Mus musculus: one gene and its partners. The protein of the gene in region 2 binds, or shares a complex with, the protein of the main gene of each other region. Links are inferred from orthologs where the notes say so. Each region holds a gene or a part of one and is shown on either strand. Other genes may lie near its edges. A codon is read from its position in the direction of its gene.

What was found. The genes of interacting proteins can lie anywhere in the genome.
Region 1: the proteins of Rnh1 (region 2) and Ear6 are in contact, whole or in part, in a crystal structure (PDB 2BEX), measured with the Homo sapiens proteins. The link is inferred for Mus musculus from reciprocal best matches to the Homo sapiens genes RNH1 and RNASE2. Residues at the interface, in NP_002930.2 of Homo sapiens: Gln11, Cys12, Arg34, Asp36, Asp37, Arg64, Ser65, Gln93, Asn94, Asp122, Gln148, Glu150, Tyr151, Thr176, Lys205, Trp262, Trp264, Glu265, Trp319, Lys321, Gln347, Ser349, Asn350, Trp376, Ala378, Asp379, Glu402, Asp404, Asn407, Cys409; in NP_002925.1 of Homo sapiens: Lys28, Trp34, Trp37, Gln41, His42, Ser47, Gln49, Thr51, Asn52, Gln55, Val56, Asn59, Gln61, Arg62, Arg63, Cys64, Lys65, Asn66, Gln67, Ser91, Asn92, Arg95, Asn97, Asn111, Leu112, Thr113, Thr114, Pro115, Asn119, Ile120.
Region 3: the proteins of Rnh1 (region 2) and Rnase1 are in contact, whole or in part, in a crystal structure (PDB 3TSR), measured with the Mus musculus proteins. Residues at the interface, in NP_001165571.1 of Mus musculus: Cys7, Asp32, Thr60, Asn89, Asp117, Glu145, Tyr146, Asn174, Glu202, Trp257, Trp259, Glu283, Ser285, Trp314, Lys316, Glu340, Glu397, Ser401, Asn402, Gln426, Val428, Tyr430, Asp431, Ile432, Tyr433, Trp434, Thr435, Asn436, Glu437, Arg443; in NP_035401.2 of Mus musculus: Arg26 (codon at 2,754), Glu27 (codon at 2,757), Lys32 (codon at 2,772), Gln36 (codon at 2,784), Pro48 (codon at 2,820), Thr49 (codon at 2,823), Gln53 (codon at 2,835), Lys56 (codon at 2,844), Arg57 (codon at 2,847), Met60 (codon at 2,856), Asn62 (codon at 2,862), Gly63 (codon at 2,865), Ser64 (codon at 2,868), Cys65 (codon at 2,871), Lys66 (codon at 2,874), Pro67 (codon at 2,877), Val68 (codon at 2,880), Asn92 (codon at 2,952), Lys94 (codon at 2,958), Asn96 (codon at 2,964), Leu111 (codon at 3,009), Lys112 (codon at 3,012), Gly113 (codon at 3,015), Asn114 (codon at 3,018), Ser115 (codon at 3,021), Lys116 (codon at 3,024), Asp121 (codon at 3,039), Ala134 (codon at 3,078), Glu136 (codon at 3,084), Val143 (codon at 3,105).

The regions. Positions count from the first base shown.
Region 1 is NC_000080.6:51,851,973-51,855,532, reverse strand, and holds Ear6 (non-secretory ribonuclease precursor), read right to left. Parts: upstream 1,766-3,560; 5' UTR 1,704-1,765; intron 1,541-1,703; 5' UTR 1,536-1,540; coding exon 1,068-1,535; 3' UTR 890-1,067; downstream 1-889.
Region 2 is NC_000073.6:141,165,760-141,170,915, forward strand, and holds the start of Rnh1 (ribonuclease inhibitor), read right to left. Parts: upstream 3,178-5,156; 5' UTR 2,917-3,177; exon of another isoform or gene 2,904-2,916; coding exon of another isoform or gene 2,815-2,903; intron 1,029-2,814; coding exon of another isoform or gene 1,010-1,028; coding exon 924-1,009; intron 1-923. UniProt on the Homo sapiens protein: Ribonuclease inhibitor which inhibits RNASE1, RNASE2 and angiogenin (ANG). May play a role in redox homeostasis. Required to inhibit the cytotoxic tRNA ribonuclease activity of ANG in the cytoplasm in absence of stress.
Region 3 is NC_000080.6:51,144,113-51,148,573, reverse strand, and holds Rnase1 (ribonuclease pancreatic precursor), read left to right. Parts: upstream 1-1,806; 5' UTR 1,807-1,858; intron 1,859-2,654; 5' UTR 2,655-2,678; coding exon 2,679-3,128; 3' UTR 3,129-3,572; downstream 3,573-4,461. UniProt on the Homo sapiens protein: Endonuclease that catalyzes the cleavage of RNA on the 3' side of pyrimidine nucleotides. Acts on single-stranded and double-stranded RNA.

The DNA of each region.
Region 1 (3,560 bases), on a different chromosome or scaffold from region 2:
CTTCCTGCTTCTTGTCTGTGTAAAGTAGTGGTGTTCATCACGGAAATTTTTTCCATTTGTGTAACCGCGATTTGTTCTCCTTCATTCCTCCGCCTCTCTGACCTGTCTTGCACTTCCTCACCCTGTGTGGCTGGTTCTCTGGTTTCACACAGTCCCAGCTTCCGCTTTCCTATTCCATGTATTCTACTCCCCTATTTTACACTTTCCGTAAGATTTCATCTTTGCTTTTCATCTAAATCCATGCATATTCATACATATAAGTATACACACACACACACACACACACACACACACACACACACACACACACACACACACACACCACTTTTAAAAATCCATTGAGGTGGAGAGATATCTCAGCAGTTAAGAACACTGACCGCTCTTGCAGAGGACCTGCGTTTGATTCCTAGTTCCCAAGTAGCTAACAATCATCTGTAACCCCAGGGTAGGCTCTCTCATTATTCATCTCTTTCCTGTGCAGATTCCAGTTCCCTTATCTTGGAGTCTGTCCTTCTGGTTTGTGTTGAATGTTCTCACAATTGATCTCTAAGGACAGCTATGCAGGGAGAGGGCAAGGGATAGCCTCACTGAGAGATCTCAGCTCCCTGACTTCCTCTGCCAGCCACTTCTTTCCCACAGAGAAACTTCAGGTAAGATGCTGTGTGGGAACTTTCAGGAAAGATGTCCATCTCTTCTCAGATTCATTTGTTTCCAGGCACTGGGTAGATGCCTCAATTGGTATGAGGCCCTGCCTCAACACACACACACACACACACACACACACACACACACACACACACACACACACAAACACACTCTTCTCTGTGTATGTCTCTCCCTGTTCCTTTCTCCCCAACCCTGTCAGACACAGAGATACCAGAGATCTAGATTTGTATGCAAATGTGTTTATTAATTAGAAAAGATCTATTCAGCTGAGTTAAAGGGAGTCAGGGACAGGTTTCATGAGGACAGGTGCTGATATGCAGCGCAGACAGAGGAATTGGTTCTTCACTACTATGATCTTGGCAGTAGCAGATGATCGAAGGTACAAAGTGCTGGCACTGGAGCTAAAATGTCCCATCCAAGTGAACTGGAACCACTGGATAGATGGGACAATCCCATGCAACTCTGGGCTCACAGGCAACTGTGTAGTACTCCACTGATCCCTTTGTTTGGTATCTGCATTGGGTATAATTTCTTCTCGGAGTTGTGAGGTTACAGACAGTTATAGGTACCCGAGACGAACTATTATGACAGTTTTGACTTATTTTGTCGCTGCACAAGCCACTTGGATTGCTACACACACCAACAACATTAATAAAACTTGTATGAAGAAAAGTATTTAAGCCCTTACATCTTGGTCTATGCATGTTAATAGCCTGCATTTCAACATTACATTGGAGGTTGGCTTTATAAGTGATATGCTGGGTAGCAAACCACTGGGATGCGGTTGGTTTCTGGCATGAGGCAAGCATTAGGACAAGTCCCAGCATCAGCAGGAGACAAAGTTGGGACTCAAGCAGCTTCGGACCCATGTTTCCTGTGAGGACAGAAGAGAAGTGACTACTCCCACGCTACCTCAGTTTTCCCTATGTCTTCCTGAAGGCCCTCTGCTGTCACTGTGGGTCCACAGTGACACTTTTCCTGGACTCTGCCCCATCACCCGCCTCTCCTGTCCCAGGCCTAGATAGTCAGTGTCTTACCCAGTCTGTGTTGTGGCTCCCGTGGAACTGAGCACTGGTTGTCCTGGAAATCAGGGATAATGGGTGAGCTCTACTTGGGCCCATAGATATACAGCAGGCTCTGTGGGTGGAGCTGGTGGCTCAGAGTCTTCAACATGCAGAACCCACAGATTGGTACATTGCCTGCTTGTGTAACCAGCCTTCTGTTTCTTCACTTGGCCAAGCCATGGTGCTGCTGGCTCCATTGTAAAGAAGAAATTCCAAGCCCTCTTGTGCAGGTCAGTTTGAAGTCTAAATTTGAACACTACATAGAAATCTCTGTATTGCCTGTTGACTGTTTTCAGTAAGGGACAGACAAGTTTCCTATTAGCCTGACTACACACTTTTAGAAAGTCTTGGGAAGCCTGAATCATAAGAGATATTTACCTTTCTGTCTTGCATCTTAAAATTATATGATGTTGAGGTCTGCAGAGATAGCTCGGTTGTTAAGAGTACTTGATGCTCTCCAGAGGACCCAAGGTTGGTTTCAGCACCTGTGCTGGATGGCTTACAATTGCTTTTAACTCCATCCCAGGACATCTCATGTCTTCTAATAGCATCTTTTGGCATGTTCATACACATGTGCACAGACACACACAGAGACACACAAGTAAAAATAGGTCTTAGAGTTCAGTGAGATGACAGTGGTTAAGAGAACTTCCTCTCTTCCAGATTCCTCCCCTTCCAGAGGACCCCAGTTTGTCACCCAGAGGCCACAGCTTGTGATAACTCTTGGTCCATGGGAATTGGACACCTGTTTGGCTTTTGTTAGTACCTGCACATGCATGGCACATGTGGATGCAGACACATGTGAAAACTAAAAGATAAACTTTAAATATTGCATATAGAAACAATAACAAAACACTGTAGTCACGGCATAGTTCATAGTATTTTTCTGATTGTTTCCTGTATAAGATTCCTTTCTACATTTCCATCTACCCTCATTTGTTCCAGAGCTACTACTGATGGTCTAGTTTTACACCATGGACCCTCAGAAGAATACCTCTTTATCTAAGATGCCGGAGTTACTATAAGCCAATGTTTAAAAAGATGCAATAACCCCAACAGAATTTTTGTTTCTGTTTTTCTTTGTGCTGGGGTTTGAACCTGGGGCCTTTTACAATCTAGAGATATGAACTGCCACTGAGGTACATCCCTAGCATCACATAGAGAGAGAGTTTTGGCTTCCATAGTTTAAATGCCTAAGTTTTTTTGTTATGCAAACCTCCCTTGCATTCCCATCCACTGACACATCTCCAGACCTGCTCCCAGTTCTGTTGTGAAGTACATCATGAGTTATATCCTAGTAGTAAGCCCTTGGGTTTTTCTTTCCAAATTTGATGAATATCATAAGGTATGGTCTCAAGAAATACTTCTGCACTTGACCTATAAGCTACAGTGAATATTTTGCTGTCCCAACTGATAGATTTTTTTTTTGAGACAGGGTTTCTCTGTATAGCCCTGGCTGTCCTGGAACTAACTTTGTAGACCAGGCTGGCCTCGAACTCAGAAATCCGACTGCCTCTGCCTCCTGTGTGCTGGGATTAAAGGCGTGGGCCACCACTCCCGGCTGATAGATGTTTTTTGTTCAGATTCAATTGGTGAGACATTGTGTCCAAAACTTGGAATTTCTTCAAACCTGGGATCCTCTTACAATGACTACTGTTGACCTACCTACTGACTGACAGATGCCCATTGTCAGAGTAGTATTTGACACAGCTCTGCCAAGTGCTCTGGCTGTCTATGGAAATGACAGTGGACAACATTTATAAAATTGTCACAGGAACCCGTTTTTTTAGGGACTGATCTTTTGCGGGGTGCTAAGGAGTGTGGAGTGTG
Region 2 (5,156 bases):
CTCCTGCATCCACCTTCCCAATGCTGAGATATAGGCTTGTGCCACCATGCTCGGTTTATACTGTGTTGGAAATCAATTGCCCAATTCCATGTCAGTAAGAGCTATAGAGTGAGACCTTGTCTAAAAACAAATGTACAAAAATGTTGAAAAACTCAAGAATAACTCATGAAAATCTCATGAAGATTATGCAAAACAGCTTTCGGTCCCGGCCTTGGTGGCCGATCCACCCGAGCCGGTCCCCACTGCCCAGCCGTGCTGCTGCCTCTGACACAAGCGTAGGTTGAAAACTACAAGAAACTCGTGACTGAATGGCTCCAAGGTGAAGTACTCTTGCATGTAGCGACCAGGCTTGCCTGTATTCCACTTGAGGATTAGTATCGAAGCTGAAATAGGTGAAGTCCAGTTTACAAATAAAGAGTGAGGGCCATGTGAGTTTCCTTGAATGGCCTTGTAACTGATTACCCTGAAGATAGTTTCCTAAAGTTTTTAATCAATGTACTAGGATCCTGCCCCACCCCTTCTGCGTGTCCCACTGCCCTAGAATCAGATCTGCATGGCTATGACATGCTGGCCGTTTTAAAGATGCAAAGATTTCATGCTAGATCATTAGAATGTATCTGGACTTCAGTTAGGACAAGTTCTTTGCTAGTAACCAGTCACGTGTTAGCAATTGAGGTGTGTTAACCTGTATATTGTTGCCTATGAGTAATTTTCCATAATCTTTAATAAAGGCTTCCTGTGTTAATTCTAAAAAAATAAATAAATAAAGATTATGCAAAACATCTTCATGCCCACGAATAGAGAAAGTACTATTGGAACACACCAAGCCCATCAGGTGGCCCCAAGCTACAAGAACCACCCACCTCCACAACAGAGTACTGCCCTCCCAGCCAGACCCAACTGGTCCCCAAGGTTGCTCCTACCTGACCACTTCGTATTGCTGGATCAGAGGAAGGAGCTCTGTCCACCGGGCATCACTCAGCTGCTCACACTGGATGTCAAGACTCATGGTGGGTGCACAGTGCAGTCTGGGCAAAAGAAGAAGGAAGAGAGCTCTTGAGAAAATTTCTTATCTCGACAGGCTAGAATTTGTAAAAAGATGAGTCCAAAAGTTAAGAGAGTATTTTTTTCCAGTAGGGGCCCAGCCTCTCCCCAGCAAGTCTGTCCACACATTGAGTATCCCGGAAATAAGTTATCAGGGAGAAGCTAACTACATGGTACCATTAAGAGGAGCAGAACCTGAGAGCCTAGGACTATGCGACACAGTCACCCCCTAGCCTCTGAAGGAACCCAGTCACCCAGCACCAGGATACCAACTCTGGCCTGGAAACCTGCTTATTTGTGGGAGCCTGGCTACGGTCTGGAAACTCCAGTAGTGGGGCTTACTGCTGATTCAGCCTACTTCTTACTCTGAGAACAAGTTGGTCCAGCACCATACTCTACTGTTGCCAAGCCCTATACAAAGTCAAAGGCCAGGGAGCATGAAGCCTGGACACAAGCAACCACCTTAAGGGCAGGAAGGCACAGGACTCTGGGGGAAAAGGAGAGTATTCAGAGGCAGTCACTATAGCTTTTGCTTCTGTGACTTCCTTCTGAGTCTAGGGACTCAGGCCAGGACCAACTTCTCACAATCCTCAGCCAGCTCAGGCCCAGCCTGCAAAGGATCCAGGCAGTGTATCACACTAGGAAAGCTGGGACAAACAGGTTACAGGCTCTGACAACCTGAATAAGCATGACAGGCACTGGCTGTGGAAGGATGTATCTGAGGCCTAGAGACAAATACCCATGTCTCCACATTCCTAAGCAACTATCTGTCAAGCAAGCTAGCCTGGACAGCATGTGGGTATCCTGGAAGGCTTGAAAGAAGAGATCAGTGCTGTGCTCCTAGCACTGAAGGGAGAGCGGTACTAGGTTCTGTTTAAGAGAAACAGAAGTCACTTCAGCTGCTCTCTATAACAGTTACCGAAACTGGCAAACAGCTCTGTGTGAAGTTACAGTGCCTGGCACAACATGGCTTTACTAACGGGGTCTTCCCCTTCCTTCCCAGGGCTAGGAGGATACCCCCTTAATGCTAACCAGGAGCACTTTACACATATTGACACAAGGGCTAGTGACAGGGAAAACTGAGGCAACGGCAGAGATAACTCACTGTGGACATATAGCCAGGGCATGGAGAAACCAGTTAGCCCCACCCACAACTCGCCAGGGAGTAAAACCAGCACTGCCTGGATCAGATGTGTCATCCAAAGCCAGTCATCACTAGGGCACTGCCACTGGGGTGGGGTAGCTACAGTACTTCTAGTCACAGGTGCAACCCACACCTGCTCTCTTATGCACTACAGACTACAGGGTCCTAGAGTATCTACCTTTGAGGAAAGCACAGGACTGGACTTTATGGGAGGCAGGGTGCCAGCCAGTCCTGACGATCATCTGAGGTCAGGGGCAAGGGATGTGAAAGAACCCAGGCAGCTGGTTCTTCTCCCACACTCCTCCCCCTGTTTGGCCTTGGGACCAGGCAGGAGGTCCCACCAGCCTGGCTTAGAAGCATGATTCAGGCCTCTGCTTTGATGTGATTGGATATTGCTAACTAGCTGCTCCTAGCTGTTGGGTTAATCCTAGGATCTGAAGACACCCTCTTTGGGCCTTAAAGTGAGCGAGCGAACAGGTCGCTGGCGACGGAGCTATGAGGTCAGCCTTCAAGCACCAAGCAAGGCTCCTCTGAGGCACAAATGTGTCACCCTAAGGGAGGAACAGGCCTCAGAGACTCGCCGGGCCCGTGATCCCGCCCCCGCCCAATTTTTTGATCCCTCAAACCTTCTGGTCCAGCCGCTCTGCCACGTATTAAGAGGGCCAGGAAGGGACCCGAAAAAAACTCTCAAAGGCAGCCGGGCGCCCCGGAACATGGCCCTTGCTCACCTGGTGCCGCTGCAAGAGGTCCCAGACGATCCGTTTTCTTCCGCCCAGGGCGGGGCGTAGAGACTTTCGCCGCTTCTCTTTCTCTGGCCCCAACTAGCCTTTCACTTTGCCTACTGGAGACCGCCCACTAGGTCTGTCCCTCCCACATGCAGGCTGCACTTTGGGAACAGAACTTGACAAACCTGAGTCACTTCTTTGAGCCTGACTAAAAATACGTAAAATGATCCACAGCTGCCACGAAATGGGTGTGACTGTGATGAGAGCTTCTGGTATGAACACACCCATCTCTCCTACAGGCCGACCAGGTTTTCATGGCTAGAACAGTGTTCATTATGAACAGCCTTTCTCCCTGGGGATAGGGCTTGGGATGTCGAGAGCCTCTGATGCATGGGGCTCTCAAGCATTTCGTCACTAAGCATTTCTGATATTTGTCTTAAATATCGTTTATATATGAATGCTTCATCTGCATATATATCTGTGCATCGTGCCCAGGAAGGCCAGAAGAGGGTATCAGATTCTTGGGGAATGGCCACCATTCAGGTGTTGGGAACTACACCTGGGTGCTCTGGAAGAGCAGTGTCCTAAGCCATCCCTCCAGCCCATGTTTAAACTTTGTAACATACTCCCAAGTTATAGGATTTGCTTTTGGTTTCTGTATTTTTGAAATAAGGTCTTGATGTGTAGCCCAGGAGGGCCTTGAACATGCAGATTTGCTTCCTGAGTGCTGGGATTCTAGCACTGTGGAAAAAGTCAGCATTGAGAGTTTGTCACTCAGGAGCCCTGCTCTCTTGCACAAATGGCCACACACACCCTTGCCAAGGAACTGGCATCCATCCACCTAAGTGTTTGTTAAACACTTGTCATTTGCCAGATGCTGTTCTGAGTCCCTCCGGGAACTTTAATAATACAAGTAAAGGAGAGTCTAGCAGGCCAGCATAGGAAATCAGGAATTGTGTTCCCTAAAAGACCTGGGACAGGGAGCCCTGAAGGGAGAGAAGGAGGCAAAGAGACAGGCAAGAAAAGAGGCTGGAACTCAGCTTCATAAACCCTGTGCAGTGGCCACTACAGACAGAGCTTAATCTTCATCGCTGCAGAGCCATCCTCATGGAACCAATACCAACAACTGACCTGTGAAGTTGGGGATCAGTTCTTTGGGGAAAGATTAAAGCCTGCCCAATTAGAAGGAAAACTTTGGCCAGCCAGCCTTTATTTGTTGCTGCCATGAAGGAGAATTCCTGAAAAGAAGCTGTATCTACAGAGACTGGCTGATTAGAGTTTCAGTGCTGTGGAGAAATTGGGCTGGTGCAGTTCCAGAGGCTGCCTTATCCTGGGCTAGTTCTACCCCTCTAGAACAGCTCTTCCTTGCCTACCTGTGTTGCAACTAATATCTTGTGATCAGGCTGGCCTACAACTCACAGAGATGTGGCTTCCTCTTCCCCCTGACTGCTGGTAGGAAAGGCAAGTGTCACCACACCCAGCATCCTTTTGGAATCCTTTAGCAGACCAGTAGCTTCCACTAACCAAAAGCCAAGAATGTCATCAGTTGGCATCTTGGACTTACAGAAAAGCTTCCTTCCTCTTGTTGTACCAATCTCTCTGATGTACCCTTCAATGTACTTAAACTTGCCTTGTTTACTACTATTTTCTTCTGTAAAACTACAAAACGTCATGAAACTACCTCCATGGGAACACAGAATCTGGAGTAACCTAAATCTGTGTTCTCAGGCCATGGTCACTAACAATGACTCCAGAATAAACTATCTCTTATTCCTTTTAAGGTGAGAGCTGTAGTTGTTTTCATGGATACTGAGTACCCACAGACAAATGGCAGGGGCTACCAACTTAGGAGCCTGGGTTCAGGCAAGCCATGTGGCTGGCAGGTACAATGAGTTTCTAGCACCATACCAGGACCTCAGAACAAACTAAAGACAAGCACCTGCCTTCCTTCTACCAGCATGAAAGTGAGCTTTCTACAAAGACCACACCCAGTGAGGAAGGGTGAGAAGTGAAGGGGGCAAGGGCCCCTGGGTGCTGAGTTTGCACAAACTTTCCTGGAAGCTGTATGGGAGAACTCATGTGGGTGGGTGGGTAGGTGGGCCCCAGTATAGTCCTGAGGATCCTCTTAGGAAGCGGCGGAGATACTGGGTGAAAGGGCAAAGAAAGGTTTATCTTTTGGAGGCTCCAAAAGTTTCCTCCTGCAGACACTTGACTTTTAATTTCTCTCCTGAATTGTGAAGAGA
Region 3 (4,461 bases), on a different chromosome or scaffold from region 2:
TCCCCATCTCAGGGATGGCTTTATCCACAATGAGCTGGTCCCTTCCCTCTTGATCATAAAGGAAGTACCCTTCAGTTGGATATTATGGAGGCATTTTCTCAATTGAGTTTCCCTCCTTAGATAGCTGGAGCTTGTGTCAAGTTGACATAAAACTATCCGGTACAGACCTCAGTTGATGAGAGTTTCCTGAGGCATCCCACAGCTGCCGCCAACATGCTAGACTTCAAGGAAGCTAAGATGCCTTTGGATGAGGCCCTCACTTCACACAGAGACTAGTACCACACTGGCAGTCCTCATAGTCACAGGACTCTCTGAGCTCTCCTGCATCTGCTCTCTCTCATCCTGCCTGGTGATGAGGTGACAGTCACAGGATAAGATCAACAGCCCCCCTTATTAAAGCAGCTAGTTGAACCGTTCTGGTCTGGCTTGTTTGCAAAGGCCCTGGCCAAGGTCAACATGAAGTTTCATCTGCAATGTAGGGACTGGTAGGCTGTTCCTGCCCCCTCCACCACTGCTGCCACTTCAGAGAAGAAAGTGGAAGCAAAGAAGGAAGAAACTGGGAGTCGGATGATGGATGATGACATGGGCTTTCGTCCTCTTGGATAAGCCTCTTTTGTTAACATGCTTAACTGAAGGCTGAACCTGTTGAAAAGAAACAACCGCGAACAACAAGAAGAATTTCCCCAGGAGTCTCATGCTAGGGAAAGAAAGACTGTGAGGGGCCTTGTGCTAGTCAGAGAGGGAATTGTGTCTTAGAAAGAGCTTTCATACCAGTCTGACAACTTGTCTGACCACCTTGTAGGACAGACTGGAGTCAAGCCAGGGATGAGTCAGTGATGGGTGGGGCCAAACTTTGATCCTGATTGATTATTTATATAATAAATGCCTTTTGTCATCCACTTAAGCCTAAAGCTCATGTCAGGACCCTTCACAGGACTCTTGGACACCTGCCTCTGCCCCCCAAGTGTTGGGATTAAAGGCATGAGACACCACTGCCCAGCTTTTTTTTTTTTTAATTTTTTTCTTTTTCAGATTTATTTATTTATTTTATGTATATGAGTACACTGTCACTGTCCTTAGACACACACCAGAAGCCACCATGAGGTTGCTGGGAATTGAACTCGGGACCTCTGGAAGAGTAGTCTGTGCTCTTAACTACTGAGCCATCTCTCCAGCCCCTTCACTGGACTCTCTTTACTCCCTTTCCCAATTAGCCACATTGAATGCACTGTATTTTTCCACTTTTTTGATATTATTTGTCGATAATTGGTCTATTGAGGATGAGTGGCTGAGTTTGGCTTGGCAAGTCTGCCACAACCCAGACTTTCACCCTACCAACTCCACTAGTAGGGAACCCTTCAAGCTGCAGACAGGACGGCCTCTTATTTTCTCCCCAAGAGAAGCACGGCTGGGAGATCTGGAATTCTGACTACCATCAATTTGATTCAAATAGAGAAGGAGGGCTTCCCTCTTCCATGATTCCCAGGATCTCTGTGTGTCCTTTGTTAACCTCCAGGTTGTATATGATGCAAACAGCATGCTCATAAATTACAAGGCTTTGTGAAAGACTGTGAAGTGTATGTGCCATTGTCCCTGTGGCTAGCTCTGCTGCCCCTTGGGAATCAGCACAGGAGGCACAAAAGGTGTTTTCTCTTTCCTGGCAGCCTTCTGGGGATTTCCTTTCCAAGGTTTCAATGCCCTTGTTTTTATTATTCAGATAAGATTGACCCAGATTTACTCCGCCCATTTTTTCTTAGAAGCCAACCCCTTGGAATCCTTTTAAACTCCACACCACAGAGACTGTGTGACTGAAGAAACTGACTTCCAATTCGTCTTGGAGTTCAAACTAAAATTTTAGGTAAGTGGCCTCAGTAACTATTTCTGCTTGAGAGTTAGAACTGAGAGAGTCCAGGCCAGGCACTCTTGACTGACACCAACTCCAGAAAAGCTGAGCCCAGCAAACAGCTGGAGGCAGGGGTGGAGGCATGGCACAGTCAGATATAAAGAACGAGTGGGTCGGGGAGGATGGAGCTCCCAAGCTGGGGAAGGGAGCACGTGTCTTTAGACTAAAACCCAAACCCTGTATACTGCCAGAGTCAGGCACTAGACCAAGTTCCCCTATGTCATAAGATAATGAGACTACAGCCACAGTCCTGGATGTCAGTAAAGACCCAGAAATACAACTTAGCTTAAGGCGTCTTCCAAATGACCTTCTGACGAGGTATTTGGACACTATTTACAAATGTGCTCTAGTTTTCAAATGTATTTTATATGAGAAAAAAAAAAAAACCCAACCCTATTGAGCATTTTGCCAAGAGTTTAGGAGACACAGCCCACCACCTAGAGAAAAGAATGGCTTCTCTTCAGTAGGTAATGAAGAAAAACTGTCTCACTTGCAGGATCTCTCAGCAGAGGGAAATCTTTCTGGCTCACCTAAAGAATGGGACAGTCTTGAGATTGGGGCGTATGCTGGTGGCTGCAGGGACTAGGGTAGTGGTGGAGGGAGTGCTGGGGAGTCTGGGGAGATTGTGCTGGGGAGGCTGGGGGTGTTAATGTGTAAGGAAGCTGAGGTGGGAGAGTCTTCTGTGGAGACAGAGGTGGGTGCTGCAGCTCTTCTGAGCATTTGTCCTTTTTTTCTCTTCCTTTCCTTTCAGGCTTTTCCGAGCAGCCAAGCCACCATGGGTCTGGAGAAGTCCCTCATTCTGTTTCCATTGTTTGTCCTGCTGCTTGGATGGGTCCAGCCTTCCCTGGGCAGGGAATCTGCAGCACAGAAGTTTCAGCGGCAGCACATGGATCCAGATGGTTCCTCCATCAACAGCCCCACCTACTGCAACCAAATGATGAAACGCCGGGATATGACAAATGGGTCATGCAAGCCCGTGAACACCTTCGTGCATGAGCCCTTGGCAGATGTCCAGGCTGTCTGCTCCCAGGAAAATGTCACCTGCAAGAACAGGAAGAGCAACTGCTACAAGAGCAGCTCTGCCCTGCACATCACTGACTGCCACCTGAAGGGCAACTCCAAGTATCCCAACTGTGACTACAAGACCACTCAATACCAGAAGCACATCATTGTGGCCTGTGAAGGGAACCCCTACGTACCAGTCCACTTTGATGCTACTGTGTAGGGCTCCACATAGGCCAAACCAGTGAGATGTCTATGTCTCCCAACCTCATCACCTGTCTCCCCTCTGTCTACCATTCTTTCTCTGAAAGAAGTAAGTCATGTTAGGACTTCCATATGACAAAACATGCGTTCCTGTCCTGTGTCATGCTCCCAGATCCCTCTCTTGCTGTAGACAAATGAAGCAAGATGGCCCTCACCAGAACATGTCCCTTCAACCTTAGACTTTCTTGACTTTAGAAAACAACCAAATAAAATTCTGTTCATCATAAATTGTGCATTTAGGGCAGTTCGAAGTGGAGTAAGGACAATGGGCAAGTCACCTCATTCATTGGTCCAGAATTTCCTCACTCCTGACTACTTTAACTACACTATTGAAACTAGACTTTTCTGCCTCTCTGCTGATCATTCATTCTTCGCATATACAATAAAGTCTAACATCTATTTCAGCACTCAGTAGCCATAGCTCCCAAGTCCATCTGCTCCTCATACCAATACAGATCAGTCACATCTACTGAAGAGAGTTCTTCCATTAAGAGAGTAGAAGATGGTTACCTTTGCCTCTGCCTTTCAGCTATCTTCTTCCATCCATGTTTCACTTTGTACTTTCTTTCTCATTGTAAGTGAAAAGCAGCATCCAGTCTTGCCTTCCAGGGGCTGCTTCCTACTCTCCTGCCTCCTTACCTTGACTCAGACCTCATGGAACAAATAGGAATGTGGAGGGTAGGGGGTGGGGAGGCTTCAGTTTTAACAACCACAGTGGAAATCCAATTTCGATGATGCTTTTGGGAAACAGTCACATGCACAGCCTTGCCTACGGATGATCCAGGATTCAAGGCGCGGTTCTCCATGGAAGGTGTAGAGTGGAGGTATGTTTCTATAAGAACCAGCCACCAGCACTCCTGGAACAAACTGTAGAGTTCCTCTGCAGATTAGTCAATAGTTTTAGGTATATTGGGGTTTTCCTTTAACAATTTGAGTAGCACAGAGTGTCCTGAAGCTTAGTATGTAACCAGTGTTGGCCTTGAACTCTTGCTTCTGCTTCCCCAACCTCTCAAGTACTGGGCTCTTAGGTGTGTGCCACTGTGCCCCAGCTATTTTTGGTGGGAAAGAACTTCTTCCAAGTAGGTAGGTCAGTGTCTAAATGCACTGACTGCTTTCTCAGAGGCCCCAGATTTGTTGTCAGTACCCACATGACAGCTCACAGTCACCTGTAACTCCATTTCCAAAGGTTCTGAGGCTTTTCTGGCCTCTGGGCATTTGCACATATGTGGTGCACATAAACTCATCCAGGCATGTAAGTACAGATAACAGAGACAGGCTTTATCTCGCAGAAC